4 linked regions of the Elephas maximus indicus genome follow. The protein of the gene in region 2 purifies or fractionates together with the protein of the main gene of each other region. This does not show direct contact. Links are inferred from orthologs where the notes say so. Each region holds a gene or a part of one and is shown on either strand. Other genes may lie near its edges.

Region 1 (7,837 bases), on a different chromosome or scaffold from region 2:
TTGATACGTTAAGAAAAAGACCCAAAGGTTTCCTGACAGAAAACTAACGTGCCAAAGGACAGGGGACTCAGCGTCAGGGTGCGGAAGGTGACAACTCATCCAGATCCTAAAACGCACCCCGAGTGGGGACGCAGGCGTGAGCACACCCAGGGCTCCCGCACCTCAGGGTGGGCTCAAGGGCTCACCGCACAGGCTGCTTCCAGATCGCCAACAGGTGAGGAAACTCAGCACACAGCTGAAGCGTGACCCAGGGCCTGCCCTGCAAGCTGCAAGGAGCCTAAGCTGGGCACTGACCCCGCAGCCAGACTCACTGCAGAGGAGGGAAGAGACTGCAGCTCAGCCAGGGTCCGCTCGACAGTGGGAAACACCCCAAACCTGTGCAGTAAGCCATCAGTCTCCTGTCACAGCAGCACATTCCATTACTGGATAAAACCAAAATCAAACCTGTTGCAGACGAGTCGAGTCCAACTCACAGCAACCCCAGAGGACAGAGCCGAACTGCCCCGTAGCGTTTCCAAGGCTGTAACCTTTAAGGAAGCAAGCTGCCACGTCTTTACCCTAGGGGGTGGCTGGTGGGTTTGAACCACTTAACTTTCGGTTAGCAGCCAAGCCCTTAACCACTGCACCACCAGAGCTCCTCCGTTACTGGATACCTCTCATGAAACCACACCAGGTTATCCAGAAATGAGGGAAACCGCTGTTAAAAAGGAGAGCCACTAAGCCTTTCCTGCAAATGTCACTGGCCATTCAACCCCCTAAGCTGGCACTACCATTCACCTGGTGTGTTCACACACTGTACCTTCTAGCTTGAAGCTTCAGGCGAAATGGAACCCATCAAAAAGGACAAAGTCCCAAAGTCTTCATCCAAGGGGAGAAAGTTTACCCAGGAACACCCACTGGGCAAAGCCAACGGGCACGAAGCTCTCTTCTGCTGGGAAGCCTGCTGCAGATGCATCCAAGGACGCCCAGATCACAGCACAGGGCTGAGAAGTGGCTGGTGCCCCTGCCCCAGGTGGGACACCAGTGGCAAAGGCTCCACAAAAGGGCAGCTCAAGGGCCAGAAGTGTTCTTTTAGCATAAACAGCCTGGCCTAGAGGCAGGGCGTGACTACGGCCAATTGGCTGCCCAAGAGGAACAAAAGGCTGAAGTAGGTGGTCTTACCCCCCACCCAGCACAAGCCCAGCCTTCCAACATTAACATGCAAAAAAACCCTTGTGCAAAAGTAGGTGGTCTTACCCCCCACCCAGCGCAAGCCCAGCCTTCAAACATTAACATGCAAAAAAAACCCTATGCAGAGAAGGACCTTTAAGAATATGGATTTCTTGACTCAGCACCCCAAGACTCTGCTTTGCTGGGTGGGGTCTACGCCCGCAGCTGCATTCTTCACAGACACTTAGACAGGTCTGTGGTCACATTTGGAGAAAGGATTATTTTGAGGGAACAGGGAGCTGGTTAGGGGCCAAACCAATAAAAAGGCAGGGTACAAGAAGGTGAATACACACCCGGAGGGCAACCTGGACGTTGCCTCCAGAGCTCCCGCCCCTCTAGGCACCCACAGGCCTTTGATCCCAGTGAGCCTGACACCTAAGGCAGAGCCTCCCAAACTTGAGCGCTTTCCTAGACTCTGGTAAAACACAGGTTCCTGGGCTCCATCCAGACGTGGGAACTCAGAGGCCACCTATTTCTCTGTGCACACGCCCAGGTGAGCTCAGGCAGCCCGTCCTGCAGCAGTCGTGGCAGGAACAGCTCTCTGCTACCTCAGCTCTTGGACATACTTCTGCTCCCCACTTACCTGTCTGCCTTCCTTAGGGGCCAAGCTCAGAGGCAAGGTCTAGTGCAGTACCGCCCGATTCAAAGCTTTAAAACGTTTGTTGACGAGAATTGGAGCCCTGGTGGCGCAGTGGTTAAGAGCTCAGACTGCTAACCACAAGGCGAGCAGCTCGAATCCACCAGCCACTCCTTGGAAACCCTATGGGGCAGTTCTACCATGTCCTATAGGGTCGTTATGAGTTGGCATCAACTGGACAGCAACATTTCTTTAAGAGAATTGGTGAAAAGACCTGGGTGGGTAAAGGCTTGCACAGCAAAGGTGGTTAAGGGGTATCTTTTAAAATATCCCCAAATGGCTTTCAAAGACCAGACCAGGCGTGGTCTGAGGTTCCACCACAGGAGGGCCGGTGGCTTCTCCCTTCCTGAGGGTGGACTCACACCACAGTGACCCCAACCCGGGGCTCTAGGCTCTTAGGCGAGACGGGGTCTGGCAGCTCAGGAGTAACCAGCAGGGGCAGGGTGGGTGGAAAACAGGGGTCATGTCTACAGAAGAGGGGAGCTCAACCCTGTCTGCATTCAGCCAGTGTCTGCGTGGACCACATGTGGGACAGACCGGCCTGGGGTCTCTCTGAAGAAATGCAGGGGAAGGGGGCGATGTGCACGCTGGCTGGGGGTTGGGAGGGGCGTCCCAACCCCTGGGGCTTTGGTCTTGTCATGTGACCGCTGCGGAGAGAGAAGTTCCGGGGAGACTGGGACATGGGCCGGGGAGGGGCACCTGCAATCAATGGGGGTGTGGGGGGTACCCCTGGGATGGGGGGCAGGACACCCAGGGCGGGGCCGCCAGATGGGGCAACGGGGACGGGCGGGGAGCCTGAGCCGGGAGGAGGGCGAAGGGGGCACCGGCTGGGGGCTGGGGGCTGGGGAGGCGCGGAAGGTGGCCCTCACGGAGGGCGTCTGCACGAGGAGGGCCCGGGCCCGCCGGCGGCGGTTTGGGGTCCGCGGGAAGGAGCTGCCACGGGGGCCGAGGCCCGGGGCGCCGGCCTGGCGGGGAACACGTGCGGCGGCCGGAGACGGTTTGGGGGCGAAGCCGGGTCGCGCCCACCCACCCCGCTGCGGCCCGCGGGCCGGCGCTTACCTCTGGGCCGCAGCGGCGGGGCCGGGAGCCGGGCGTCGCGTCGGCCGCCACCTGGGCGGCAGCGCGGGCCAAGCTCGACGAGGCGGCAGGTCCGGCGGGCGCCAAGCGGCGTGGGGGGGGCCCCTGCCAGTGCGCGTGCGCGAGGAGAGGGGGCGGTGCCCCGGAGGCGGGGCCAACGCACAAAGCTGGCCTCTCTGAGGAGCGCTACGGAGAGCGGCAAGGGGCAGAAGGCCTCGGCCAGCCGAACGCCTTAAAGGGGCCGGGCGCTGCGCTCGCTTCCTGATCCAAAGCGTTCAACTCCAGAAGTTGGCTGGTGCGGGCCCGCCTCTCCCGCACTTTTTAAAGATTTTTTTTAGTGTAATATACATACAGGGATGTACTATTGTATCCCTTGAATTTTGTGAGCAGCCCTGCAGCCGACACCCACATCCTGGGACAGGGCGTTCCCCGGGGATTCTGAGGAGGGGAAGTTGCCCAACGTTTCTCCTCGGAATCGGTGGCCCGGTTGGGGCATCAATTCTTCATTAACGCTCACACCACTGGTCGCAGCAGTTGGCTGTGACAGCATCTGCAGCTAGCCCGCGCAACGCCTCAGTGAACCCTCACACATCAGGCGGACAGGTGCGCACGCCTTCCGCTTACAAGACCTGGGGCTCAGTCCCCGGACTCCGCCCGAGGGGCTGAGAGTCCTTCCAGCGCCAGCTCTTCCCCAAGCTCACCACACCTTCTTCCCTCCCAGCGTTGTGTGATGAATACAATGCTCGTAATTACTGCATGCAAACTGGTTTCACAGCCCCTCCCTGGTGGGGCCCCCAGGCAGGTGTTCACCTCCATCACAGACGGGCAGGTGAGGCTCAGAGAGGAGTGAGGGGCAGGAGGAGAACCTGGGGTCCAGTGTTCTGCTCCATCCACGAGCAGCCGCAGCCCACTGCCCCACTTCTGCAAACCACATGGGCCTTAGACTCTTGGAGGTGGCCCTGGCTCCTGCAGCTCCACCGCCCCTGCCCAGGTCTGTGGGTAGAGTGGCAGACAAACTCTTATTTTCCAATTAATAGGACAAGGTACCTGAGCAAACAAAGGGACCATGCATTAGAAGTGGAACCAACCGCCCACGGAAGGTGAGATGTGTGGCTGTCATGGATAACGACAGCTGAAGAGTGGCAGCCAATCTGGAGCCCTCTCCCAGAGAGGACACAGGGTGGCAAGGCCATAGTTCACGTGGATCTGTGTGTCCAGCAGGCCCGGTCACCCTTGGTCCAGGTGCCTTGGAGCCAAATGCCGGGATGCTCCAATGTTAACAAAACCAGCTAAGAGGTGAAGATGGGCATCTCCAGCCACCTGGTGGCCTAAGATGGGCATCTCCAGCCACCTGGTGGCCTGGACGGACACCTGAGCCCACCCTGGATTCCCCCCCATACCTCTCAGTCCTCAGGTCCACCCACTCCTCTCCATGCCAGCCTCATCATCTCAGAGTGACCACTATGCTACCCTTCCCAAACCTCTACACAGCACGCCATAGGAAAACTCCAGCTCTGGTCTGTCTCTCCCCAGTCTAAGGTTTAGAAATAGCTTCCCAGGGCCCTCAGATCAAAAGCCAAACTCTGTTGACGGTTTACCAGACCCTCCCTCTCCCTCCAGCCTAGTGCCACCCCCAAACTGTGCACCCCAGGTTCCAGCCCCAGATAGAAATTACTTCCAGTCCCCAGCCCTCCTGGCAGAGTGGGATGAGGGTCCTGACCCCAGAAGTCACAGAACTCAAATCTGTTAACTCAGTTTCCCAACTTCCACTCCCAGGTAAATGGGCCTGGCCCCGCCCTCCCCCAGGAGGTAGAACCTTCTGGTGAAAAAGAAAATCCTCCCTGCAGAGCTGAAATCCGGAAACCGGATAGCCAGCAGGAAAAGCCGCTTAACAAAAACAAGTAATTTGCTTTATTATCTGTTTTAAACCCCTTTATATCCTTCCCAAAAATTTGTCACGCTCAGAAAAATCAGTAGTGGAAGCCGAAGAGAGTGTGAACTAAAGAAAAGGGGAAACCATGCTCGAGTGGTTTTTTCCAGAATACTAACTGCTTGGGCCACCGGGGTGAATTGGTGAAGGAAACTGTTTCCAAGAACAAATTTTTACAGCCAACATTTCTAGAAAGCTGCTCCTTACCCCCATGCAAGGGGTGGTGTGAGCCAGCCTGGGCACCTCCCTCTCCAGGTCCCTCCACCAGGCTCCCCTTCTCCTCATGACACCCCCTCCAGCCAACGTCCCCTGGGGCCTCCTCCCCTGATCCCCAAACCTGGTGAGTGACCCTGGCTGTGTTTGCATCGCTCCCAGTTCCTCCCCAGTAGAAACCCTCATCTCTTCATAGAAATCCTGGTCTAAAGTCTCCTGGTGCCATCTGAGCTGGTGGGAGTGGGAGGAAGACAGGAAGGAGGAGGGGGAGGAGCAGTGGGAGAAAGGGGGAAGGGAGGGGGAGGGAGGGGAGAAGGGGGAGGGAGGGGGAGGAGCAGTTGGAGAAAGGGGGAGGGAGGGGGAGGAGCAGTGGGAGAACAGGAGGGGGGAGGAGCAGTGGGAGAAAGGGGGGAGGGAGGGGACGAGCAGTGGGAGAAAGGGGGAGGAGAGGAGCAGTGGGAGAAAGGGAGGGAGGGGAGGAGCAGTGGGAGAAGAGGAGGGAGGGGAGGAGCAGTGGGAGAAAGGGGGAGGGAGGGGAGGAGCAGTGGGAGAAGGGGGAGGGAGGGGGAGGAGCAGTGGGAGAAAGGGGAGGGAAGGGGGGCAGTGGGATAACAGGGAGAGAGGGGGAGGAGCAGTGGGAAAGGGGGAGGGAGGAGAGGAGCAGTGGGAGAAGAGGAGGGAGGGGAGGAGGAGGGAGAAGGAGGGGGAAAGGGAGGGGAGGAGGGATGACTTGACATGCACTGAGAACTTGGGTGCTCCTTCCTCTATTAAGTTTGTTACACTTGTTACCTCCTTGTACCCTCTCAACAGCCCTGTGAAGTGGGTGCCTACATTATCCCCTTTTCACAATGAGGAAACTGAGGCTCAGAGAGGCTGGGAAACCACCCAGGGACCCCCAGTCAGTAGCAGATACTCAAGCTCAGGACTGGCTGTAGGCACAGCCTGCGCCCTGACCCCTAGACTTGTAAACAGTGCACGATCAATGACGCTTATTTGGTGAATGAGTGAAACGCCCATGTTGTAGGCCTTCAAAGAAGACAGCAACCCCATGAACTCCAGCGCTTAGAGGAGGTCTATAGAGGCCGCAGATCTAAAATATAATAACATTACGTTCTCACACGGCTTCAAGCTTCCGAAAAACCATGTTTTATCGTCTAGTGAGAAACATTTTATCAGGAAAAGTGGCCTTCAGGACGTTGGCTGAGGAGGGGGCTGGTTGCATTGGGGTGGAACACTGCAATGCTCACACCAGGGCTGCAGGCAGCAGTGAAGCTCCAGCCCCTTAACGGCTGAGCCCAGAGCTTTGGGGGCAGCAGATTCCCACAGCAGTTGATGAGAGGATCCTAGAACCTGAGGGACACGAGGATGCTCAGGAGCCAGGGTTTCCAGGAGCTGCTCCCAGGATCCCACAGCCTGACTTTATCCCGAACCCCGCAGGCTCCTGCCAGCCCAGGTCAGAGGGTTCCTGTTAAGCCCTTTTCCCTCATAAAGATGCTAGGCAAATGGTTTAGGGGACTTATGCCACTATTCTCCTTGCTAGGGCTTCTTTCTTCCCACCCCAGTACCCTCCACCCCAGCCCTGGATCCATCAGGACAGCCAGCCTTCGGCCACAGCCTTGTCCTGAGCCAAGTGGGTACCTATCACCCCTGGTGTCCAGCATCCTCTCTTCCTCACCTGGCACCCGTTTCCCAGTTACAGAATAGGCTGGACCCATCTTGTTCTTGACATTGTGGGTTTCCCCCTTGTGCCAAGTTCTCTCCTTCCTTGGTTCACCCAGGCACGTGCCCCCCCCCCGTCTCCTTCCCTCAGGCTTCCTTTCCCTACATCACATCCCCTCCCATTGTAACCCCTGGGTGACTGACCGTCTAGTTTGCCCAGCACCATCCCAGTTCTAGCGCTGAAAGTCCCTGTCCCTGGCACCCCTCGGTCCCAGGTAAACCAGGGTGGGGGCCAACAGGCCGCTCTTACTCGTCCTTCTCCTGGGCTGTCCTGTCCTCAAGGAGCCCCAGGCCCTCCCCTGTGCCTCTGCACCTTCCCCATCCTGCCAGCGGGCTGGCCCTCGAAGGGTCCACTTACCCATGTATCCCCCCACCCGTGGACCGTGTCCACCACTAAACCAGGAGGGGCAAGAGGAGGCCCAGAGGGGAACAAGTCCCTGCTAGGAGCACCCAGCAATCAATGAATTCCACTGACCCCGACATCCAAAAACAACAATAATCTTTAAGTAGGCAGGTCACCAGGCCTTTCTTCCATGGTGTTGCTGGGTTGGGTGGGTTCAAACCACCAACCTTCAAGTTAGTAATGAGCGCAAGCCACTTGTACCATCCAGTGACAAGGACTTCAAATACAGTCTCCCTAAATCGCCAGAGATGGCTGTGCTCACTAAAGCCCCATAGAGTACGTGTGTCATCAAATCTTTGATTTCTCTTCTGTGGGCCTTTTACAAAGATAATTGATCGAGGTGAAATTCACATAACAAAAAGTTAGTCATTTTATTACTGGTCTGACAGAGACTAGAGAAACCCCAGAAGAATGGCCCCCAGACACCCTTTTAATTCAGTACTGAAGTCATTCCTGTGGTTCACCCTTCAGCCAAAGATTAGACAGGCCCCTAAAACAAATAATAATACAACGAGCTCAAGTATGCATACGAAACTCAATGGGCACAGCAGGCCAGGGACAAGGACGTGAAGGCAGGAAGGGACAGGAAAGCTGGAAACGGGGAAGCCAAGACTGAGAAGGGGAGAGTGTTGGCATGTCTTGGGGCTGG
Region 2 (7,264 bases):
GAAAAGGACCCACACTTAAAAAAAAAGGGGGGGGGGGCTATATTATATTTATTATCTTGGGATACATAAGCTAGTTTCAAATGCCCTTCTTTTAAAATAGAAGTATTTATTTGGTTTAAGCCAGATTTATTTTTCCAGCACAAAGTGGATTTTGGAGGCAAAATGCACTTCCTACTATATAAAACTCAGTTTCCCATTTCAAAAATAGCTCACATCTCTCACATATTAAAAAAAAAAAAAACCAAACACACACACATTACAATTGCTCAATTTGTGATCATTTACAAAAAAATATTTATACACAAATAAATTACAAACACCAAGACTACCAAACTGTGCAAAAGCAATTTAATTTTAATGGGAGCAAGTGTGTGTTTTCTGTATGTATATTCATCCTCAGAACTTTCTGCCTCATGGACAGCTAATTCCTTTCCTACCCAATACTTATTTGATGAAGGATAAAGTTGACTGTAACCCAATTCTAGTACCTACATTTTGGTTGACTGATAATGGAATTTGAAGGCCAGCTCCAATCCTGAGGGGACACAGAAGATGCTTTCTCCACTAATGATTTTGAACTATATATGGAAATCATTCATGCCAGGGACTCACCAGATAGGCCTTATATTTCAATCTGTCCTAGTGTATTTTGACTTAAATGTGCAATCTAACAATGGCACAAATTCAAAATAACCAATTTGCCCTTTTTAGTGTAGAAACCAAGGAATGAATGCAGATCAAAACCAAATGTTTCCCTTTACTTAGATGTTAACACTCACCTTTACATGCTTATGATTACTATTAATGCAATGTGTTAGAATTAAATACTGTGGGAACCATAACTTTGAATTTCGTGATTTTTATGTGAACATTCCAGTTTTTTTTTTGATTTATAGTTTGATATGGCTGACTCTACATGCCTTTACACATTTGTTAAACTTTTAATCAAACCTAAAATACGTCAACTTTGGGTTTAAGATGCTGTGGCTGGAGAGAAAAAATTTAACTGCTCAAAAGATCCAGCAGATTTAGTATTCTCTCTCTCACACACATAGTGATTTGGTTCTTTTTGTATATTAAAAAACAACCACCGCAATAATGTAAAGGTCCTCATGCGTTTTAAACAAAATTGAAATATGACAAAGTGACCAGAGTAATCTGAAAAACTGAACAACATTTGCCCCAAACTAGGTGCACGAGATATCTGGTTCTTTAAACTGAATATTACTGAAAATACTTGGTTTCTCCAGAATTCAGGTACAGTGGTTTATTATACCAATCAACAGTGGCTTTACTGTTTCAACGGCCTATCCTTTTAACATATTTTTCCATGTTCCATAATTTTCTGTATTTTATTATCGCAAGAAAAAAGTACTGGGCAAAATTCATACTGTACTGTCCTTCTAAACTCTTGAGAACTAGACAAGAGATTAGGTTTATTTAATTGAATTAGAAGTATTAAGGCAAGTCAGTAAGAATCTCTATGTAATTTTCTGCCCCTAATTCTCCCCATAATAATACTGGGGGCCTGGGGTGTGTGGGGAATATATGAATGTAAATTTCTCCAACCACAGAGATGCAAAGTTATAATTTTTGGGAAAAAAGCTTGAGTTAGATCCTTATGTATTTAGGTTTTCATTAACTTACCAATGTAGTTTTATTGGAGGCCATTTTTTATTGCAGACTTGAAGAGCTATTACTAGAAAAATGCATGACAGTTAAAAGGAAGTTTGCATGACACAAAAAAAGGTAGCTAAACACAAGTTTTGCTTGGATTCCAACCCCCACGTCGGTAGCGCACATATCAAACATGGATAGAAATCCATAGAGAAGCGGATTTAAGCTCCTGCGTGAATTATTAATGATATATGCCTTAAAGTAATATATCACTTTTATCCAAGTGGGGGAAGGGAGGGACATCTGCACCTGAGACTGAGCTTTACATGGTGCAAAAAACAGGAGAAATATTTTTTCCACTCTAAATCCCAGTTACACCAAATTCTATGTTTAGCTCTGTTTTTTTTTTTTATTCAAAGGCAAACCTTTTTGTTCAAAGTGAGAGAAAATTAGCCAACCAACCACACCGGTAAGCTATACTGAATTTTTCCTCTAGACCTCTTAACAGTCCAAAGAGTTTCCTATACAACCCTAACTTGACTTCTTCTCAGAAACCACCCCTCTTCCCAATTACTCGTTAAAAAAAACTAAAGGGAAAACACACCGTGAAGCCTCATTCCCATTTCATGACACTTTTAAAAACAAATCACCTCTTGCATATTCACCCGATCTCCCCTTGGCCCCAGGACCCTCCGAAATGGATTGGGGTGTGCAAAGGCCTAAGCGCCCGCCCCCCACCGAGAGCGCGGCCTCGTGGTCAGCGCATCCGCGGGGAGAAACAAAGGCCGCGGCGCCGGGGTTCAAGGGCACTGCGCCACCGGCCCCGCACCTGGGCGGCGGCCACGTAACGGAGCGTCCGCCGCCGTCTCTGGACAGCGGGCCGCGTGCAGTGCCAGGCCCCGCGGATGCGGGAAAATGCGCCGCCCTCCCGGGAGGCCCAACTCGCCGCCCAGGCCGGAGATGCGGGCGGGGGAGGGTCCCTCTTCTTGAACGTGGATGAGGGAGGAGGGGAAGAAAGGCGCTTTGTCTAGAAAAAAAGCGGCTGTCGCCACACCTCTCTACCCTCAGCAAACTACAGACGCCGGCCCTGAGCGCGGCTCGCCTCGGGCCTCCACCTGCCCTCCACACCTTCCCGCCAGATCCCGACTCTGGGTCCGGCGGGGAAGGGCGGGATCCAGGAGCTGGGAACTGGGAGGGGGGGGTCCCTGGGGCGCATGTAGCATCTGAAGCACCACCACCCAGTGAAAGCTAGAGAGAAAGAAAGACACCGACTTCACCGCCTCCGAGCTGCTCCACGTCCCGGGTCTGCGGCGTCTCCGGCCCTGCGCGCCTACAGCTCAAGCCACATCCGAAGAGGAGGGGGCTGGGGAGCTGCGCGCTGGGCCTCCGCCTGGGCCGGGGAGGGGGAGGGGAGAAACGCACCGCCCACGCTGGGCGGCGAGGGGCGGGGCGGGAGGGCGCGCGCGCCCGGCCGGGGAGGGGCCGCGCCCGTCGGGAGCCCTGGACCGTGGGAGGTTGGAAGGGAGGCAGGGAAGGGGGCGGTGACTGCGGCACCTACCGTTCGCGGCTTGGCGCCTGGTGATCCCCAGAGGGGAGGGAGGAGGAGGGGCGGGGACGGTGGTCGGAGTCTTTTCCGCGGAGGCTTTTCTGCTCCGCAGCGCGGCGGCTGGCGCCAAAACCGGACTCCGCCCACTTCCTCGCCCCTGGGAGTGGTTGCCTCCTTTGGAGGGAGGTGGAGAAAAACTTGGGGGTGAAAGGACAATTGGAAGCTAAGAGAAGTGTACCTCCCGGAGGACCTTCCTAAAAAACAAAAAACAAAAAAAAAAGTACCAAATTCTAGGGGCCGGCCCCAAGGACGTTGGCCAGTAATTTGTTGACTAGAAATCGCTTCGGGTGTTTCCGGAAGGGGCCGAGTCAGTCCTGCACAGGGGGGGAGGGAGTTGAAGAGGAAAACGAAGGGAGGAAGGCTACCAGTATTTTTTATGGTGGGAGAACCCACGGGCATTATCAAAGGTGCAGCGGCAGGTTTTACTTCTTCGGGCAGCTGACTGAGCTGCTCCCGACAGCGCTAATTTCAAACTGCGCGACCGTTTCTCACCTGCCCTGCGCTAAGGCGGGGGCTGGACCCGACTCCGAGGGAGATACGCAAGACTCGAGCCTTCCGCAATTCACTGAGTCCCATTTACGCTAGTAACGTCAAGCACCACCGCTAGCCGCAAGCAGGGGGAGGGGTACGTGTTTGGCGTAAGGCGGGAGCAGAGCGTTCCCGCCATTGGCGGCGGTTAGGGCGTTTACGCAACGAGCTGACGTAAGGGAGGACGCGTTAGTCGGAGGGAAGGTTCTAGAAAAGCGGCGGCAGCGGCTCTAGCGGCAGTAGCAGCAGCGCCGGGTCCCGTGCGGAGGTCCTCCTAGCGGTGTTGTTTCTCGAGCAGCGGCAGCTCTCACAACAGCGCCAGGACGAGTCCGGTTCGTGTTCGTCCGCGGAGATCTCTCTCATCTCGCTCGGCTGCGGGAAATCGGGCTGAAGCGACTGAGTCCGCGATGGAGGTAACGGGTTTGAAATCAATGAGTTACTGGAGAGGGCATGGTGAGGCCGTTGGCGCCTCAATGGAAGTTGACCACCCGCCTCCGTGGGAGAGCGGCAGTGAAGTCGGACCGCTCCCGGGGCGGTTGATCTTGTGACATTTATGTGGGGGATCTTAGCGGAGGCCTGCTTGTACACCACCGCCCTCGGCCTCCCGGCGCCATTTCCTTTTACTGGTTTGGGGGATGGGGAACTTTCACATGGCGGACGCAGTCCCACTTTAGTGAAAGTGGGGTGCAGAGGCGGGAGTTCCTATTCCCTTTTTAAAAACGCCAACTTAGGGGCCTCAGCGTCCTAGCGTTTCGGAGGGCTTGGGGCCCTCGTGAGTTTGCGGAGCTTCCCCTCCCCCTCTCTCCCGGGAACCGGATTTGGCGGCCGCCATTTTCATTTCTCTCCTTCCTCGCAGCGTTTTTGTTTTTGCTCTTTAAATTCTACTACTGTGATCACTTTGTTGCCGAATAGAAGTAGTTAACTGTTTCTCTCTCTTCTCGGGCTGTTTCCACGTCGTTTCGAGGTGAATTTCGTGTGTTTTGTGAGCTCGGATCTTTTAAGTCCTGCGCACCTCGTTAAAGGCGCTCTTCCTTCCCCTCGATGAAATGGCGCCATTGCGTTCAGAAGCCACAGAGAAGAGTGGGGGGTGGGGAGGAGGCTCGGCTGGGCCAGTTGGTACCGCGCGAGAGAGGGAAGGTGTAACAGCCGAGGGCCTTGGGCCTTGGGCCTGGCCTTTAGGCAAGCCATATTACCAAGAAACCGTTTCATGTTTTCCAGCTTGTGTTTCTTTTAATAACGGATTTTTCTGGGTTTGCAGTGATTAAAAAAAGACCGTTTAACCGCAGAAAACTTGGAAATATCAAAATTTAGAGCCATTAGATTAGTATCGATTACGAACGAGGTGGCAGTGGGGAAGATTATTATGTGGGGGAGAATATTCTTTCCAGAATCTTTTATTATTCTAAGGACTAATATATAAGTTGTAGGATTTATTCATATTCAGAATAGCAATTATGTGAAAATTCGATGTTTGCTGGGTGAACATGCGGATCTTCATGAACGACAAGCCAAAAGTTCAGAGCAAAGTGAAATAAAAATGACTTATTAGTTGTATCCTGGCTCGAAATTGTAATGCGTTGTAGTGCTATGCCCAAAACTGTCTCGGGCCTAGGTCGCTATGTGTTTGAACTTTGTTATTTGCTGTTCTTATTTCTGTTTGCAATCATGGTTGGTCATTGCATTGATTAAGCGTAAGGTCTCAAGCGAAGGGGGTCTACCTGATTATTTTCTTTGACCCTAAAGCACGTTTATAAAATAACCTTGTTTATAATCGATAGTGGACATCGGGTAAGTTTGGAACAGACCGAGGTAAGTAATGCGTTTTTGCCGTTTGTTACTGGTTTTTAAGGATTGTGGATGTGCTTTTGCATTAAATGTCCGTGATTGATTTGGGTTTAAAGAGATGTTTTTAGTGACAAGGTATAGAATAAAAAAAATTAGTTTGAGAATCCAAAATAGTTACCCGTTCTGACAGCGTGTTGTTGTTTCAGTAGCTCAAGGGCTTAGTTTGGTAATTTAAGTTAATTCTATTTTTCATTTTCAGAACCCAGAAAACACTTAACCATATTGGGGGAGGGGGAGTCCCTGACTGAATTGGCTTCTACTGTATTCTCTTGAGCAGTCGGGAGAATATCGTCTGCGTTAAGGAACTTCCATCGAATTGGTTGAAAGCAGTAATACTTGTTGGGAATAAAACACTTCCTGTATTTGAAAATATATTTGACCTTTTAGTCTGTTACACTTTCACAGTAGTTTGTCCTGGATATATAATCTATTTTCCTGGTTTATGAATATTTTTTCAAAATTAACAAGTTACCTACCTGTAAGGCAGGTTTAACGACCATGATTACCCCAGATAAAGGGGCTCTTAATGTAGCATGTTTGCAGGTGTTAAAAATTTCAGCTCAGATTTTTTTCTTTTCAACTTGTAAAATTTAAGACATTGTTTTATGCCCTAGTTTGCCAGATGAACATTAAAATCCGTATGCCCGAGCTTTTTTTTTTAAATAAGCCAGTCAAATGTGTTATTGGTAAATGTGGTAATAAGTAAAAACCAAGTAATTATGGTGGTGGTTTAAACATTTTTGTTTATTGTGGTAGAATGTATATAACGAAACATTAGTTATTAAACATTTTAATTGTATAGTTCAGACGTTACTTTCAACTTGTGCAATCATCAGAATTATTTCTAAGTGCATTTAAGCGTTCTTGTTGGGTTTTTTAATGTGAGATGCTTATGCTAAATAAAAATATTAATATATAAGGTGAATACATTTTTTTGTGGTTAGCAGAGTGGTCCAGATTGTTTCTGTACTGTCATTTAAATACAAAATACAAGAGCCTCCCCCCCCCAAAAAAAACTGCATTCGATTTTTTTTTTTTAAGTTGTAGAAGACTTTGGTTATAAAATCAACCTGCCTTGCTCAAGAGAGCTTATTTTTGTACCTATCTTAAACCTTTAATGCCCCGCAGGGGGCATATGGGGGAAATCCGTATTTTTTTTGGAGTTTTCTTGGATGAGATTCATTAAAACTACCACCAGAGGGGGCAGTTAAGGGAAAATAATTTAATTATGGCACTTTTCAGATACTGAATTCTGAAATACGTAGTCAACCACGGGTTGTAAAGAGCCAGAGTTATTTTTGAATTTTTTTGAAAGTGTTTACTTATTACTTAAAAGCAAAGTTTTATGTCTTGGACATAGGATTGTGTAAAAGTTTGGTAGTCTTTTAATAACCATTCAAGAACCGCAGAATATTTACTTTTTTCTCCCCAGAAAGCTTTTAAATAAATGATAATTACGTTTGTTTAAAATAAATTTATGTCAAGTAAATTTAGATCAGGCATTAATGACTTTGAAGCTTGTGTAGTTCAGCTGAGACAGTTTTTTTGGTGTAACACAACTAATATGCAGTTTAACATATGGTTTAAATTTGATGTAAGTTTTTTTTTTCCCCCCAGAAAACTTTAGAAACTGTTCCTTTGGAGAGGAAAAAGGTACTCTGCCAGCAG
Region 3 (6,636 bases), on a different chromosome or scaffold from region 2:
TTTAAAACCACTTGGAAGGCCACCTCTATTAAAAGTGATTTTTTCCCAGGATAGTATACCAGATGTAACCTAAGCCAACACCACCTTAATTGGCAGAGGACTCAATAAGCTGGACCTACATCCCCCTCCCCCACAGCAAGTTTACACTAAGTTAAAACACAAACTCCACAAGGAAAAACATTTCAGAATTGACTCCTCTCAGTGGAGAAAAACTCAACCTAGTTATGAGACCACAACACAACGAAAAGCTGCACTAACTAGTTCTGGAAATTAGTAACAGGTGATGCTGGTGTGAGTAACTGGTATTATATACTCTAGAGCCCTTATAAATAAAATCCCCCATCAGTGTCTGCATTATCAACTAGAGGATTAGTTAACGTGGTAGAATGAGGACTTATGCAAGGTACAACGCAGCACAGCATCTTACTGTGAAAACAAGTGTAGTCTAGTTAAAGGCAAACCAACTCGACTCTAAATTACACACATCTCAATGACAAGACTTCCCACCACATGTGAATGTAAAACATTTAATTTAAAAATGTTGACACTACAATATATAAAATAGCTATTATAAATGCACATAGTGTATTCTATAGCTGCCAAGTTTACTTTTTTTCTTTTTTCTTAGGAAACTGTAAGTTACACTGTGGTTAAGACTTGTATCTTCACCCTTGAAAAAGCCCACATTCTATCACAGTGATGTATGGTCAGACTTAACAGCCCCAATTGTTAAACACCTGGATCAAGTCATAACCAGTTTTATTGCAAAAGGACCCTGTACACATTTATCAATTCTAGTACCTTAATAGCTACCCAACAAGTCAGTAACATACAGCAACATGCATCATGAGAAGCAGGAAATATCACCCATCCCTTCTGCAGATCAGCAACTTGTCACTCCTGAGCAACAGTGCCCACATCACTGAGGTCTGTCAACAGTCACTTTTCGCATTCATCCTGAGTGAAAGATGGAATGACTTAAGTACAAATGCAACATATTATAAACAATTTCTTACAAAAAAAGTCACAAATTAAACCAAAGTATTTTACAGAATTTACTACAAAACACCATAAAAACTGCCCTTCACTTAAGCTCTCTCCCCCCGTATCCGGCGAGCCAACTGGATGTCTTTGGGCATGATGGTGACTCTCTTGGCGTGGATGGCACACAGATTAGTGTCTTCGAATAACCCCACCAGGTACGCTTCACTAGCCTCCTGTTGAGGACAAAACCACACAGTTAAACCCCGCGGAGAGAACCAAGCACACACAGCCCTTCCCCTGAAGGAAAACCGCCTTTCTGCCTTACCTGCAGGGCGCCGATGGCTGCGCTCTGAAACCTCAAGTCCGTTTTGAAATCCTGGGCGATCTCCCTCACCAACCGCTGGAAAGGCAGCTTCCGGATCAGAAGCTCGGTCGATTTCTGGTAACGGCGGATCTCCCGGAGCGCCACGGTTCCGGGCCTGGAGGGAGCGGAGGGGCGCGTGAACGGACGCCGATGGGCAGCCCCGGCGGAGCCCCGGACAGTTGGCGAACAAAGCCCAGCGGCCGCCAGGCCATTGTTTCCTCCCCGCTCTGCCTACCTGTAACGGTGAGGTTTCTTCACCCCGCCGGTAGAGGGAGCGCTCTTCCTGGCTGCCTTGGTGGCCAGCTGTTTGCGGGGGGCTTTCCCCCCGGTAGACTTGCGGGCAGTCTGCTTGGTCCGGGCCATTTTTCACCTAGAACAGCACCCCCACGGTGAGGCCGCGCGCCCCTCCAGCCCGGCCCCCCTCTCGCTCGCCGCCGGGGGCGCAGGGGGACCGAGCCCGACCCGGGCCCCTGCCGGAGCGAGTGCCGACCTCCGCCGGCCCCGCCCGCGCCCTCGCCCCCCACCTCGCGGCGGCAGATGGCCGGGGAGCCCCCCCTCCCCTAATGACTCAGGCTGCGCGGAGCAGCAGGCTCCCCCGGGAGGGGGGCGCAGGGAGGAGTCACTTCCCCTCCTCGCCAGGCGGAGCCCGAGCGTCCGGAACCAGGCGCCGGAACCTCGGAATCACCACTAGGCCAGGAGCGGAGAAGCGGGACGACCCGGAGCCCCGAGAACAAACCGGCCGGTCCACGCCCGACGCCAGCGGGCAAGCAGCCCCCTCCGCCCGTCACTCGGTTCCCAACGGCCGCGACCCGCGCCATCAACGGCTGGCGGGGCACCCAGTCATGGCACTCCCCGCGAACGCCTACCAAACGCCGAAGTCTTGGGCCGCTTCTCGGACTGCCGCGCCGCTCCTGCTGCCCAAACGAGAGCCGCAGTCGCTAAGCAGAAAGACGACAACCCCCTACCAAACGACCAAACCGCTCTGCGCTCCCAGCCCCCCCGACGCCTCCGCTTTTATACCCACGCTTCACGCTGCGTCTCTGCGTCATAGGCCCCTCATTTGCATACACCAACGACTTTTTCTATTGGCGGGCGCTTTCGCCGGCGCGCTGACATCCCCCGACACAAAGGCCGTGCTTCGGCCCTGTTCCCTGATTGGTAGATATCTGGATCGCTGATTGGCTGTTAAAGTGGCCTGATGATTGGGTAGATGCAAACAGAAAAGGACGAATCAGAGTTTAGCACTAAGAGGCTCCTCTGATTGGATAAAATGGAGCTATGTTTGGATCCTTCCCTTGGTTCCAAAGCTCTACAATAGAAAGTCAATGCAAATGAATTGCATTGGTCCCAAGCAGGACTTAGAGCCTGTTAGGGCCGAGTCTAAGCTTACTGGCATTAAGCTAATGCGATGTAGGAGGATGAGAAGGTATTTTAAAAAAATTTTTTGTAAATATTTTCCAATGTAAAATAAAATGTGTTCCCTGATTATTTACTTTCATAACATTTTTATAGTTAAATTCAAAGTATAAATGATAATTAGAATTCAGTAAATCATATTACGTTATGAAGTATTTTACGTATCACGTATGTGGCACGTAACGACAACAACAACAGATGCATTTTAACCAAAAAGCAGTTATTTTATTGGTGGGGTAATTTTATTGGTGGGGTAAGAGGGGTAAATAATACATGGAAAGAAACGAATGTCAATAATTGAGATTTTTCCTGTTAAAAAAACCAAAACCAAACCTGTTGCTGTCGAGTCAGTTTTGACTCATAACAAAGCTATGTACAACAGAACAGAACACTGCCTGATCCTGCCCCATCCTCACAATCATTGCTACGTTTTAGCCCGTTGTTGCAGCCACTGTATCGATTCGTCTCTTGGAGGTTGAGATCCTTCCTCTTTTTCAATGACTGTCTACTAAGCATGATGTCCTTCTCCAGGGACTGGTCCCTCAAGATAACATGTCCAAAGTAGGTAATACCATGTCCAACGTAGGTAATACAACGTCTTGCCATCCTCCTTTCTGAGGAGCATTCTGGCTGTATTTCTTCCAAGACAGATTTGTCCCTTCTTCTGGCAATCCATGGTATATTCAACATCCTTGGCCAACATCATAATTCAAAGGTATCAATCCTTCTTCAGTCTTCCTTATTCATTGCCCAGCTTTCACATGCATATAAGGCAACTAAAAATACCATGGTTTAGGTCAGCCATACCTTAATCCTCAAAGCGACATCTTTGCTTCTAACACTTCAACGGGGTCTTTTGCAACAGATGTGCCCAATGCAATATGTCCTTTGATTTCTTGACTGCTCCTTCCATGGGTGGTAATTGTGGCTACAAATAAAATAAAATCCATGGGTGGTAATTGTGGATACAGGTAAAATCACTACTTCAGTATTATCTCTGTTTATCGCAATGTTGCTTCTTAGTACAGTTGGGAGAATACTTTTTCTTTCTGTGGAGGTGTAACCCATACTGAGACTGTAGTCTTTGATCTTTATCAGTAAGTGCATCAAGTCCTGTTCGCTTTCAGCAAGTGAGGTTGCGTCATCTGCATGTTGCAAGTTGTTGATAAGTCTTCTTCCAACCCTGTTGCTGCATTCTTCTTCTATAGCCCAGCTTCTTGGATTATTTGCTCAGCATACAGATTAAATAAATATGGTGACAGATTGAATAAATATGGTGAAAGGATACAACTCTGATGCACACCATTCCTGATTTGTAATTGAGTTTACAAATAGTTTTATATGTTTTTAGATTATGTTGCAAAATACCTTGTGATCTTAGTACCCTTGGAGTTAAACAAGGAGTAACCTGCTAAGCAACATACTGTATTTCTCTAATTACATAATTTGACTGAATGAAATTACTGGGCAAAAAAGGGAATAGTCCTACTACAGCATTGACATGCATATAAGGAGTAAATGAGAGATAGGTAAATTAAGTATGTGCCCTTGTTTTTATGGTATGTCTTAGCAGGTATTACTTCTGAAGAAAGATGACAAATGTCTAAAAATGCTAATCCCTATCTTCACCTAAATACATGTCTTGAATGGATTGCAATACTCAGTTCTCCAGATAACTCAGGTATATAAAATACCAAAGTAGATTTAAGGTTAAGAACAGTCAAGCAAAGCCCAGAAAATTGAAATAGAGCCTTGGGCATTCTACTCCATAGATCCTTTTCAGGGTTCACAGATTCTTTTACGTTATTCAAATAAAAAGTAGCAAAACCAGGTGCATAGAGATGTCAGTTTAGAGAATGACTGCGTATTAGTACCTTTAGTACAAATACTTCAATATTTATTTAGCACATCAAAGGTCCCAGTGGCAATAGTGAAAGAAATTTACAACTTGAAAAAGCAGCTATGGCAGAAACAGGGCTTTGAAACTTTCCTTCCAATTTGAACCCCTGCTGAGAATTTGCATTTCTGACAAGTTTTCTGCAGAGAATTTGCATTTCCACCCCCAGATGTACTGAATCAAAATCTACAGCTTAACAAGGTCCGCAGGTGATTCGTATGTATAACCTCCTGGGAACTTGTTAGAAATGCAAATTCTCGTCGGGGGTTGGAACCTGAATGAATCAGTTGGAAGCCCTGGGCAAAAATGCCTTTGGTCCAATCTCTGGTACCTAATTTCTCTCATTTTCACATACCAAAACTTTCATGTGACAATGTAATCAACTTTAATTTCTGCTTTCTGCTCAAAATGTGGGGTAGAGAACAAGAAAAACTTTCTACTTCATTCACAGCCATATCAAGAAGGGAAGCCAAGATGGAGGTTCTCAGAGCCTGTGTAAAGCTAAGACAAGGGAGTTGTTTGCATCTCAAATAGGAAGGAGGCTGTCAAATGCTCTGGGATGTAGCCAGCCATACACCGTCATCCTTCTGTGACTGCTCAAGGACCAGGAGAAAGAATGGGCCCCTAAATTAACATTCCACGGTTTTTTTTGGAGGCCCAGAACCTTGTAATTTCTATGCCTCCAATGGCAGGGACAGTCCAGTTACCTTTCTCCCAGTGTTGGTAATTACTAGAAGGAAACTAAAGCTGCTCTCGGAGAAGCAAGGTGTGAATCTACAATACGATGCCAAGCAGCCATTTAAAGAAATAGTTTGTCCCTCTTACTTGGTAGTCATCGAGGCAGGTTTGTTATTGTTGCATTTCCTAAGTTGGCACAGAGGAGGAAAAACAACATAGTAAATGGGGAAGAACTGGAAATGTCTATATAATCAAAACAATATTGTGTGATGCAGGGGTGTAGATTTCTGTCCTAGTTCCTGTTGTCACTGACTTGCTGAGTAACTTCAAGCAAGTTTCTTAACCTCTCTGGGTTTTTTTTCTTATTTATAAATTAAGTATTTGGATGATATCGTCTCCCAATTCTACCAGTACACACTTATTCTGAAGTTCATGGTCACACGCCGTTCTCATCAAGTCAATTCTGACTCATAGGGACTCTATAGAACAGAGTAGAACTGCCCCATAGGGTTTCCAAGTCTGTAAATCTTTATAGAAGCAGACTGCCACATCTTTCTCCTACAGATTGGCTCGTGGGGTTCTAACTGCCAGCCTGTAAGCTAGCAGCCAAAGCTCTAAACTCATGATATATATGTGTGTATATATACACATATATAATTTAAAATCTAATGTTGTGAACTATTTTTCCTCAGTCAAATCACACTCAGGTATTTTGGGGATAACATATGCTGTGCAGTAAATTACTTCATGTGGCCCTTCTAACCATGCATGGTCTTGTAAATCCCACATAATGATTGGGTGGGACTATGCAAATAAGGTATTTGTGGCCCACCAAGGGGATTGGACAGCCTGCTAAGAATGCAAATAAGGTGCATGGAACCCCTTTGGAGGGGTGGGACCATGCAAATAAGCTGTATGGAACACTAATGAGGGGACTGGTCAGTTTTGCCATCCTGCTGGCTGAAAAAACACCCAAACCCAGAGCAGAAGGGGGACTTCACTATCATCAACAAAGAAGAGCCAGAAGCAGAGCGTATCCTGTGGACCCAGGGTCCCTGTGCTGTGAACCTCCTAGACCCAGGAGAGAGAAAGCTGTAACGCTGGAGATAGCACAAGATGGCAAAAAGCATCATCAGAGAAATGGCAGCAGCAGAACTGGGAGACTGGCAAGAGAAGGCACAGTAGGGTTCCTGGTCCACAGAACAAGGCTGCTGCGGTGGGCATGCCAACCCATGGACCAAGAGAGCTGAGTGCCTTCTGGCAGGGGGCTTCCTGGCAGAGTGGGGTGCCTCTGGGG
Region 4 (7,822 bases), on a different chromosome or scaffold from region 2:
CCTGGATCTTACCAGGAAGAATCACTTTCTTAAAGGCTTCTCCCCAGCAATCCCCATGTCACCCCTCCAGTCAGCCACAGTTCCATTCTTTCCCTTTGCCACCTGCGTAAACGCAGGAAGTGAAGACAGGGCAAATCCATAAAAGCAAAGGAGACACCTTTCCATGTACATACGACCCCCAAACTTTTCAGGCAGATAATGAGCTGACGTGGCAAATAGCAAACTGGCTAAGATATAGAGGCAGATTTGGGAAAGGGGCAGGAATTGGGTGTGGCAAGTGGAAAAACTGGGTCATGCTACAGCTTGGGGCAGAGTTCACCCAGGGAGTCTGCACATCTCCCAGTCAACACGGGTCAGCCCCACACCAAGGGGCCACTGGGAGGCCAAAATGTGGAACCAACAATAGCTCAACAGCACTAACTCTCATGCCCCTCACAGAAAGGACAAGATCATCTACCACCATCACCAACTCACAACCCTCCTTGGGCAATAGCGCAGAAATCTGCCACCCTACCCTACACAGTGATGAGACTCAAGCCTAAGTTTTCTATCCCAACAGCTGAAGACTCAGTAACATGAGAAGAGGACACCAAGACTGACTCCTCTCCTAAGTGGCCTCAGGTTAAAGAGAAGGCTTCCAACTTAGAAAATGCCAAATGTGGCAGCATCTCTCCCAGACCACCTCAACTTCCGGCTGGAGCTAAAAGAGGGAAGGCAGAAGTGAAAGACATTTGATGGGAAACAAAAGCAAGACCAGTTTGCTCCAGAATAAGGAGAAAAATATAAGCAGGAAAGATTTAAAAAATGGCACGTAGAAAAAACAAAGCTAGAAAAAAAAGATCAAGACAACAAATAGGTGACTTAACTAGGAGCTCTGAACAAGAAAAGACAGATGAGAGAGACATCTGCTTAGGAGCATGACATCAATCATCATTTGATGATAGACAAGGGCTACTCCAATCAGGCATGGTGGTTATAACCACACGAGTTTGGCCAGTCCAAGGAAGCACCTTAAAACACTGATAGCACAACCCTTAACACCTTCACAAATACTACATACCACTATCTCAAACCCCAGGCGACAGGCACAGAGTTCTGCCTCAGAGCTTCTGTGGAAAAAGCCAAGATTATGTCCACTCACCAGGGGAGGAGGAGTGCCCAGCATGTCACCTCCCTTCTTCAGCCTCTCCTAGTACAACCTTGAGGCTATTACATGCTCCTCTAGCCCCTATATCTCCACTCAAAACATTCCAGCAATCTGCCTGGCTAAAAGCACTCTAGATCCCGGCTGAGGAGCGCAATTCAAACTTCACACAGTTGAAACATAGAAAACCGGTAACTGATCAGAAGCTAAAAATAATCAGATAGCGTAAAAAGCTCTTTCCTTCCTTTCCGCAGTAGCAACTACAGTATTCTACTAACACAGATGCCTAGCCGGGGTCCTCAAACAGAATCCCTCGACACCCCATCCCAATAGCCTCCAGGAGTCCCAGCTACCCGCACTCCTCCAAGGACCCACATATGGTAATGCCTGCCAGTCAAGAGCGCTCCCTCATCTGGGAACTGAGGAGCATTCCTCCAGAACAGTGCGGCAAGCAGGCATCTCAGTCCAGGTGCCCAGAGGCACATGGCTTCCACCCGCCTCACACAAGAGCTCTGCAAAAGAGAACCACTCCCTTCGGATGCCCTCCACCTGAGACTGCAGAGAGAGACAAGAAACTCAACCCTGCCTTACCAGAATCACTAGGGAGGACCCAAATGCCTCCTTCCTGCCCTGGGTCCTGGGGGAAGATGTTACCTGGGTGGGGTGGGGGCAGGCTGTTGTTCAAAAGTGCATCCATATCCTCCTCCTCACTGCCCGCTGAGCAAGGGGACGGGGAGCCCAGGCCCGACGCCATCCCCTTCCGCTCTTGGCCAGGGAATTGGCCCAGCTGCTCCTGCCTGCGGCCTGGGGCCCTCTACACTGGCCCGAGTCACTGTGCGGGGGAGGGGGGAGAGAAAGAGAACAGTCAGTGACGCGCAGTCCCCCTCCCCCACACCCACCCGCTCTTTCCGCCCACCACTACCACCGGCCCCCCCCCCCCCCACCCAGCCACCCTAGCAGGGCACCCGAACCACTCGGGCTGAACTTAGTTCCACACTCTTCGGGGGCAGCCCGGAAGCCAGCTCCCCAACAGGAGCCCCTAGATGAGAAGGAGCGACACCCCTGAGGGCAGGCTGGTGCAGCCGTGGGGAGGACAGAAGCCGGCTGGACTGAGCAGGGTGTGACGGGGTGGGCGGTGGGGGGCGTCCGAGTGGCCGCGGCGCGGGGGGGGGGGGCGGTGGTAAGGGCAGGAGAGGAGGCGGGCGGTGAGGCGCTCGGGGACACAAGGTCACTTGGGGGTGGGGGGGCGCCTCCCTGCGCCCGGGGAGGGGCCAGTCCCCAGACAGGGCAGCTCTCCAAAGACTGTCCTCTGGGACAACTCAGGTTCTCCTCAAGAGCCGCGAGAACGAGGGGGCGTGGAGGTTCGGGCGCTCCGGGGGTCCAGGGGCAGGGACTAGGTGCAAGGGAGCCCCCATCGGGAAGGGGGCAGGGCCACGTGTCCCGGGGGGCAAGAGAGCAAAGGGCGAGGGGGCGGGCGCCGGGCATTGTGGGAGACTAAGCCCGGGGTAGGGGGCGCGGGGAGCAAGACTCAGGCCTGGTTAGGGTAGAGAAGGGAGGGTGCTGGGCACCCTGCAGGGAAGGGAGAAGAAGGATTGGCTCCTCCGGACAGAGGGCAGTTCGCGGGTCTGGGGACGCCTGAGGAAGGAGTGGGTGAAGGAACGACCCTCCGGGCTTGTCGAGCTGTGAGGGGCGTCTCTCAGGGAACCCCGCGCTCTCCTCACCCCGGAGCCTTCGCAGGTCGCGCAGAGGCTGGCCCGGTGTCACTCCCGCTCCGGCTCCTCCTCGCCGCGGCCGAAGGGGGGAAAATGGCTCCGGCTCCAGCGTCGCCTCTTAAAGGGCCCGAAACACCGGCCGGGAAATCCCACCGCACAGGCCCCGCCCCCCCGCGGACAGCCCATAATAACCTCAACCAACTCCAACCCCCCCTTCCACTACCTCCAGCCTCCTCCCTAGGTCTCCCGGGCAACCCCCGCCCCCTCGTCGCTCAGGCAACCATTGGCCACGCCCCTTCGAGCGCGCGCGCGTGTCACCCGGGCAACCGCCCACCTCCTGGCCATCCCATAATACACACGGACACCCCCCCACACACACACACACCCCTACACACACTCCATACACGTATATGTCAGAACTGCTGACATCCCATAATATTGCAGACCTTTGCCACTAACCCTTTGCAGCATCCCATAATAGCCATCCTTCTGCCAACTTCTTCACTCTTCGCCCTAATGCTCACATCCCATAATAATTCATCACCCCTCCCTTCCCATGGCCATCCCATAATAAGCACCCCACACAGCACACCAGCCTCACATCCCATAATACTCATCCCATCCCCCCAGACATCCCATAATAACCACTCTTCATCCACCCCCAGTTTGATATCCCATAATAGTCAGAAACTCATCCCCCCACTGCAACAACGGACACTTGGCCTCCTCCCACACACACCCCGTAATAATCAGTCTCCCACTTTCCATACTGACATCCTGTAATAACTAACCCCCTGGAGCTGCCCTCGGTCCCTGCAGGCTAGGGTCTAGATGCACACACCACCCCCAGGCTTCACATTTTCATTCTAGCTCCTCAGCCCATAAGGACCACCCCTTCCCTATCAAAAAGATAGCCTATAATAGACCAGCAGTCCTACTGCTACCCCACAGATGGACACCTAATCACCCTTTCCCTTAACCCTGGAAATATATCCCATAATAATTTTACTTCCCCACCCACACCCTGACATCCCTTAATAATTGCAAGGGAGCCATGGTCAACCGGACATCATAATACTCTCAGCACAACCCAGGGTCACATCCCATATCGCTTCATCTCCACCCCACCACCCTTATATAGTACTGTTCCAGCCAGGCATCCCATGATATTCATATACCTCCCCATCTCCAAATGCTGTAAGCCTAATCTATTAACACCCAGAGCAGGCAGGGCAGGCAGGCTACCCACACTGCCTTGTCCCCGCCCCCACTCATACACAGCTTCAACCCTTTCTGGGCCACCCACACTGCCTTGTCCCCGCCCCCACTCATACACAGCTTCAACCCTTTCTGGGCCAAAGCAAGTACCCTGGCATAAAGCCTCTTAACCTGTAAGACCGTAGCTTCCATCATCCCATAATTTCCAGACACTCAGGAGTTGAGAGCTAACCTAGGGCCCCACCCAATCACACTAAATCCAGGAGTTCTCCAGATGTTCATCTCCTGCCATTAAGTTTTGAGTAACCCGAACCCATTGCAGTCTAGTACATTCCAACTCATAGTTTTGAGTAAGACCAACCAAATACCATGCCGGCCAGATGAACAATTTATATGAAGTTTAATTCACCCCAGAGCATCCCATAATAATCACAAATTTCCATCCAAAGACTACTTCTCACCATTCCAGCAGTCCTCTCCCCCATCGCCTAGCCTCCAGCTCAGGGACCATTCTTCAACACCCCTGGGCCACTCCCATAGATGGGCATCCCATTCTGATGTGAACTGAGAGCCCTTCAGTATATATATACACAAAGAGCCAGGACCTGATCTCCCTCTACTTACTATTCACTACTACTCACATTCATTCAGCAGATGTTGACAGAGTACCTAGCAAGGCACAGAGCTAGGCAACATGGGGAATGCAAAGACCATGGTGCCTCCCTTAAAGAAGCATATGCAACTAAACAAACTGTGATAGAAAATAGAAATGTCTGGTGCCAAGGGAGAACAACTGAATGCTATTTCCTAATTTCCTGTTACAGAGAATAAAGCAAAGCCCAACTGGTTTCAGGACAGATCATATCCTAGTAGAGGTTTTTGGTGGTCCTTCTAGAGGTATTTTAAAATACCTAGATATTCTAAAAGGGTTTACAGTATAGACGGATGGTCAAGATTATCTAACCCCTACGTACTAAGGGACTTTGATAGGAAGGCAATGTTCATTCACTCAGCATTCCTAATAATGAAATCCTATAATTTTATCATGTGCTTCCTTCTTGAGAGGCTCATCAACAGGCCAGAATCATTATCCTCATTCTTCAACATTAAAATTCCTGCTTACCCTCAATGTCATTTTTTAACTCCTTGCTCATTTTATATCTCGAAGTCTCATAACACAATTGCCCAAATCTCCATCTTATTGAGGCCCCATTCTCCACCAAAAAAACACCATAGTTGCATGATGTTCACTATTTGCCCCTTCCCACATACAATTTCTACATACCTACTGACAGGACTAACTAACAGGATGCCTTCCTAATTCAATTATGCCACAAGGTAAAAAAAAAAAACATTGCCACCGCCGGGAGTCTAACTCATAGCGACCCTATAGGACAGAGTAGAAGTGTCCCATGGGGTTTCCAAGGAGCAACTGGTGGATTCAAACTGCTGACCTTTTGGTTAGCAGCCAAGCTCTTAACCACTGTGCCACCAGGCTCCCAATATATATTATCCTTTTTCCCTAACCATGCCTACCTTCCAGCCACCCTGGGGACCCAGTCCTAAGAAAGCCAGGAGATCCCAATCTTAAAGCCCTTTGGTCCTCAGAGAATCTGAGCCCACAAGCCTGTCACTTTTCCCTCTTCCTGGCCCCCGGAGAAGCAGGACCTGAGTGAGAACAATATTCCAGCATCACTGCTTCACTGTCTCTCTTCCTCAAGCCAGAGATGATGTCTACTTCTGCTTCCATCTGCCTTTTTCACACAGGGCAAGACATATGGAGGTGGGGCAGGGTGAAGAGAAACAGGAACTCCCTCCTAAGAGGGGCCCTTCCTTACCTCACTCCATATCTTCATTGTCCTAAGGTCATTTCCCTAGAGAAAGGGCCCGACCAGATGGTTCTCCCCTCCTCTGGGAACTAAAGGACTGGGAGAAGTGGCAAGGAGAAATGAATTCAGGTGCAGAGAGAGCTTGTTTCTCCAGGAATTTACAATCCCAGGCAGAGCACCAGTGATGCTAAGTCTTTCCACCAGCTGCTGCCTAATGGTATAATCACTAGCATTCTATGTTTAACTCTTTTCTCATTTTAGGACTGAAGTTTTCAACATCAAAGACCTCAGGTCTTGCCAAGGACTCTCACGGCTACCTTTGCATTTCATATATTCTTTTTCCAATATTTGCTCCAATTCTCTGGACCACCTTTTTGCCACACTCATGTGGCGTGATGGCCATTTTCCCCACTCTGCTAGGCTGTCTGTAGTTTTCCTCATTACATTTTCTTTACTTCAGGATTAAGCCCCATTCATTTGTCCAAACCCTCCCCTGTGCTTATTCCAAGTACTGAGAATGAACTTTGCATTGCTCCCAGAGGGGAGAGGGGCAGCTCTTTTAAGATGCCATAATGTGAGCACACCTCCCTTCAAGTTTTCTCCTTCGTACACAGAGTGGCCAAATACCTATTATGCCCTCCTTATCCACATTTCCCTAGGGGATTCAGCCTGTCTCTGGGCCTCAAATTCCTTTCTGTAATATCTCCATCTGCCCCACGCTTTTTTCCTCTCATACATATATACCACATTACCACAGTGATTCGTAATATAAATCAGTAAGCAACTTTTACAACTGAGTACGCACAGCCTATTGTCCGTGATTAAAAATACTGGTGCCCTTTGCCCACCACAATCCCTCTTTCCCTAATCCTGCAGCTTCTACCCACTTATTCCCTTTCTTCCCTATCTTTTCACATCTTTCTGATACCACTAGGAGAAAGTTTAAATTCTTTCCTCTCTTCTTGAGTTCCAACAAGGGCTACAACATGTGTACTTATGTGTTGCTCTTGTGGTCTTTATGCCCCTCCCTCCCTACCCAGGTCCCATGCTACCTGTCTAGATAAATTATAAATAAACCACTAGTGTGATTGGCCCACAGAGACCACTGTGGGATAATCTCCTGATTAATGCACCCAGGGGGACAGCCTCTCTAGTCGGTTACCTTAGAGTTCTGTTTCCACCCCGTGGTACAGAAGAACCTAGAATAACACTCAGAGTGAGTTGTCCGTTAAGTTTTCAGCGTACGCTCTCTATTTCCTCTCCCTACACCTCTAGTCTGTGTGAAACCAAGAAACTCTGCTCAGGTCTAAGGTACTCTGCTGCTCCATCAGGAAAGGCAGTTTGGAAAAACAGCGTAGGGGAAAAGAAGCCACAGTGACAGTGCACTCTGACGGCAAGACAGAATGCAGGTTGTGTGGACTTGAAGGGTGGCAGGTGAGGCATTAGTCCTTCAGGAGCCAACCCATGTCTCTGTTCCTTGGGTCTGACTGCACACAAAAATAAAGTTTCCCATGTGCAACCCTCCTATGTGAGCCATGGTCCCAAGGCTCAAACCCAGGAAGGCAAAGAAGAGGAGTACTTGGGTATTGTGGTCATCCAGGAACCTGCCTCCTTTTCGTGGTATGCCTCATAGCCAGAACCCAGGAGTCCTCACTTCCAGCCCAGCACTGCAGGCTCAGGAATCAGCAGTCTTGCTGCCCTAAAGCTGTGAGTGTACCCAGTTGTCCAGGGTTCAGATTCAGCTAGCTTGAGCCTGCCTCAGAGGGCCCTTCGAACAGCTGTCACAGAAGAAACCTCTCCAGCCAGTTACTCCTGTCAGGCCTCAGGTCTGGCTCCAGGGCTCACCCCACCCTCCCCAGCTCCTTCCCTCCCTCTTCCTTCCTTTCTTTCCCCATCCCCCCCCCCTCCCCAGAGCTTTA

The links.
Region 1: the proteins of CBX3 (region 2) and WDR5 purify together in Homo sapiens (affinity purification with mass spectrometry; 3 studies listed by BioGRID and IntAct, with this or other methods). This does not show direct contact. The link is inferred for Elephas maximus indicus from reciprocal best matches to the Homo sapiens genes CBX3 and WDR5.
Region 3: the proteins of CBX3 (region 2) and histone H3.3A purify together in Homo sapiens (affinity purification with mass spectrometry; 3 studies listed by BioGRID). This does not show direct contact. The link is inferred for Elephas maximus indicus from reciprocal best matches to the Homo sapiens genes CBX3 and H3-3A.
Region 4: the proteins of CBX3 (region 2) and CHD4 purify together in Homo sapiens (affinity purification with mass spectrometry; 6 studies listed by BioGRID and IntAct, with this or other methods). This does not show direct contact. The link is inferred for Elephas maximus indicus from reciprocal best matches to the Homo sapiens genes CBX3 and CHD4.

The regions. Positions count from the first base shown.
Region 1 is NC_064827.1:4,452,780-4,460,616, forward strand, and holds the start of WDR5 (WD repeat-containing protein 5), read right to left. Parts: upstream 3,018-7,837; 5' UTR 2,906-3,017; intron 1-2,905.
Region 2 is NC_064826.1:87,352,096-87,359,359, reverse strand, and holds the start of CBX3 (chromobox protein homolog 3), read right to left. Parts: upstream 3,017-7,264; 5' UTR 2,890-3,016; intron 1,700-2,889; 5' UTR 1,672-1,699; coding exon 1,648-1,671; intron 1-1,647. Other genes in the region: HNRNPA2B1 (heterogeneous nuclear ribonucleoproteins A2/B1), read left to right, coding at 4,159-4,164, 7,214-7,249.
Region 3 is NC_064837.1:66,035,657-66,042,292, forward strand, and holds histone H3.3A, read right to left. Parts: upstream 2,337-6,636; 5' UTR 2,215-2,336; intron 1,719-2,214; 5' UTR 1,712-1,718; coding exon 1,584-1,711; intron 1,464-1,583; coding exon 1,310-1,463; intron 1,218-1,309; coding exon 1,089-1,217; 3' UTR 514-1,088; downstream 1-513. UniProt on the Homo sapiens protein: Variant histone H3 which replaces conventional H3 in a wide range of nucleosomes in active genes. Constitutes the predominant form of histone H3 in non-dividing cells and is incorporated into chromatin independently of DNA synthesis.
Region 4 is NC_064822.1:63,380,742-63,388,563, forward strand, and holds the start of CHD4 (chromodomain-helicase-DNA-binding protein 4), read right to left. Parts: upstream 3,009-7,822; 5' UTR 2,866-3,008; intron 1,977-2,865; 5' UTR 1,899-1,976; coding exon 1,799-1,898; intron 1-1,798. UniProt on the Homo sapiens protein: ATP-dependent chromatin-remodeling factor that binds and distorts nucleosomal DNA. Acts as a component of the histone deacetylase NuRD complex which participates in the remodeling of chromatin.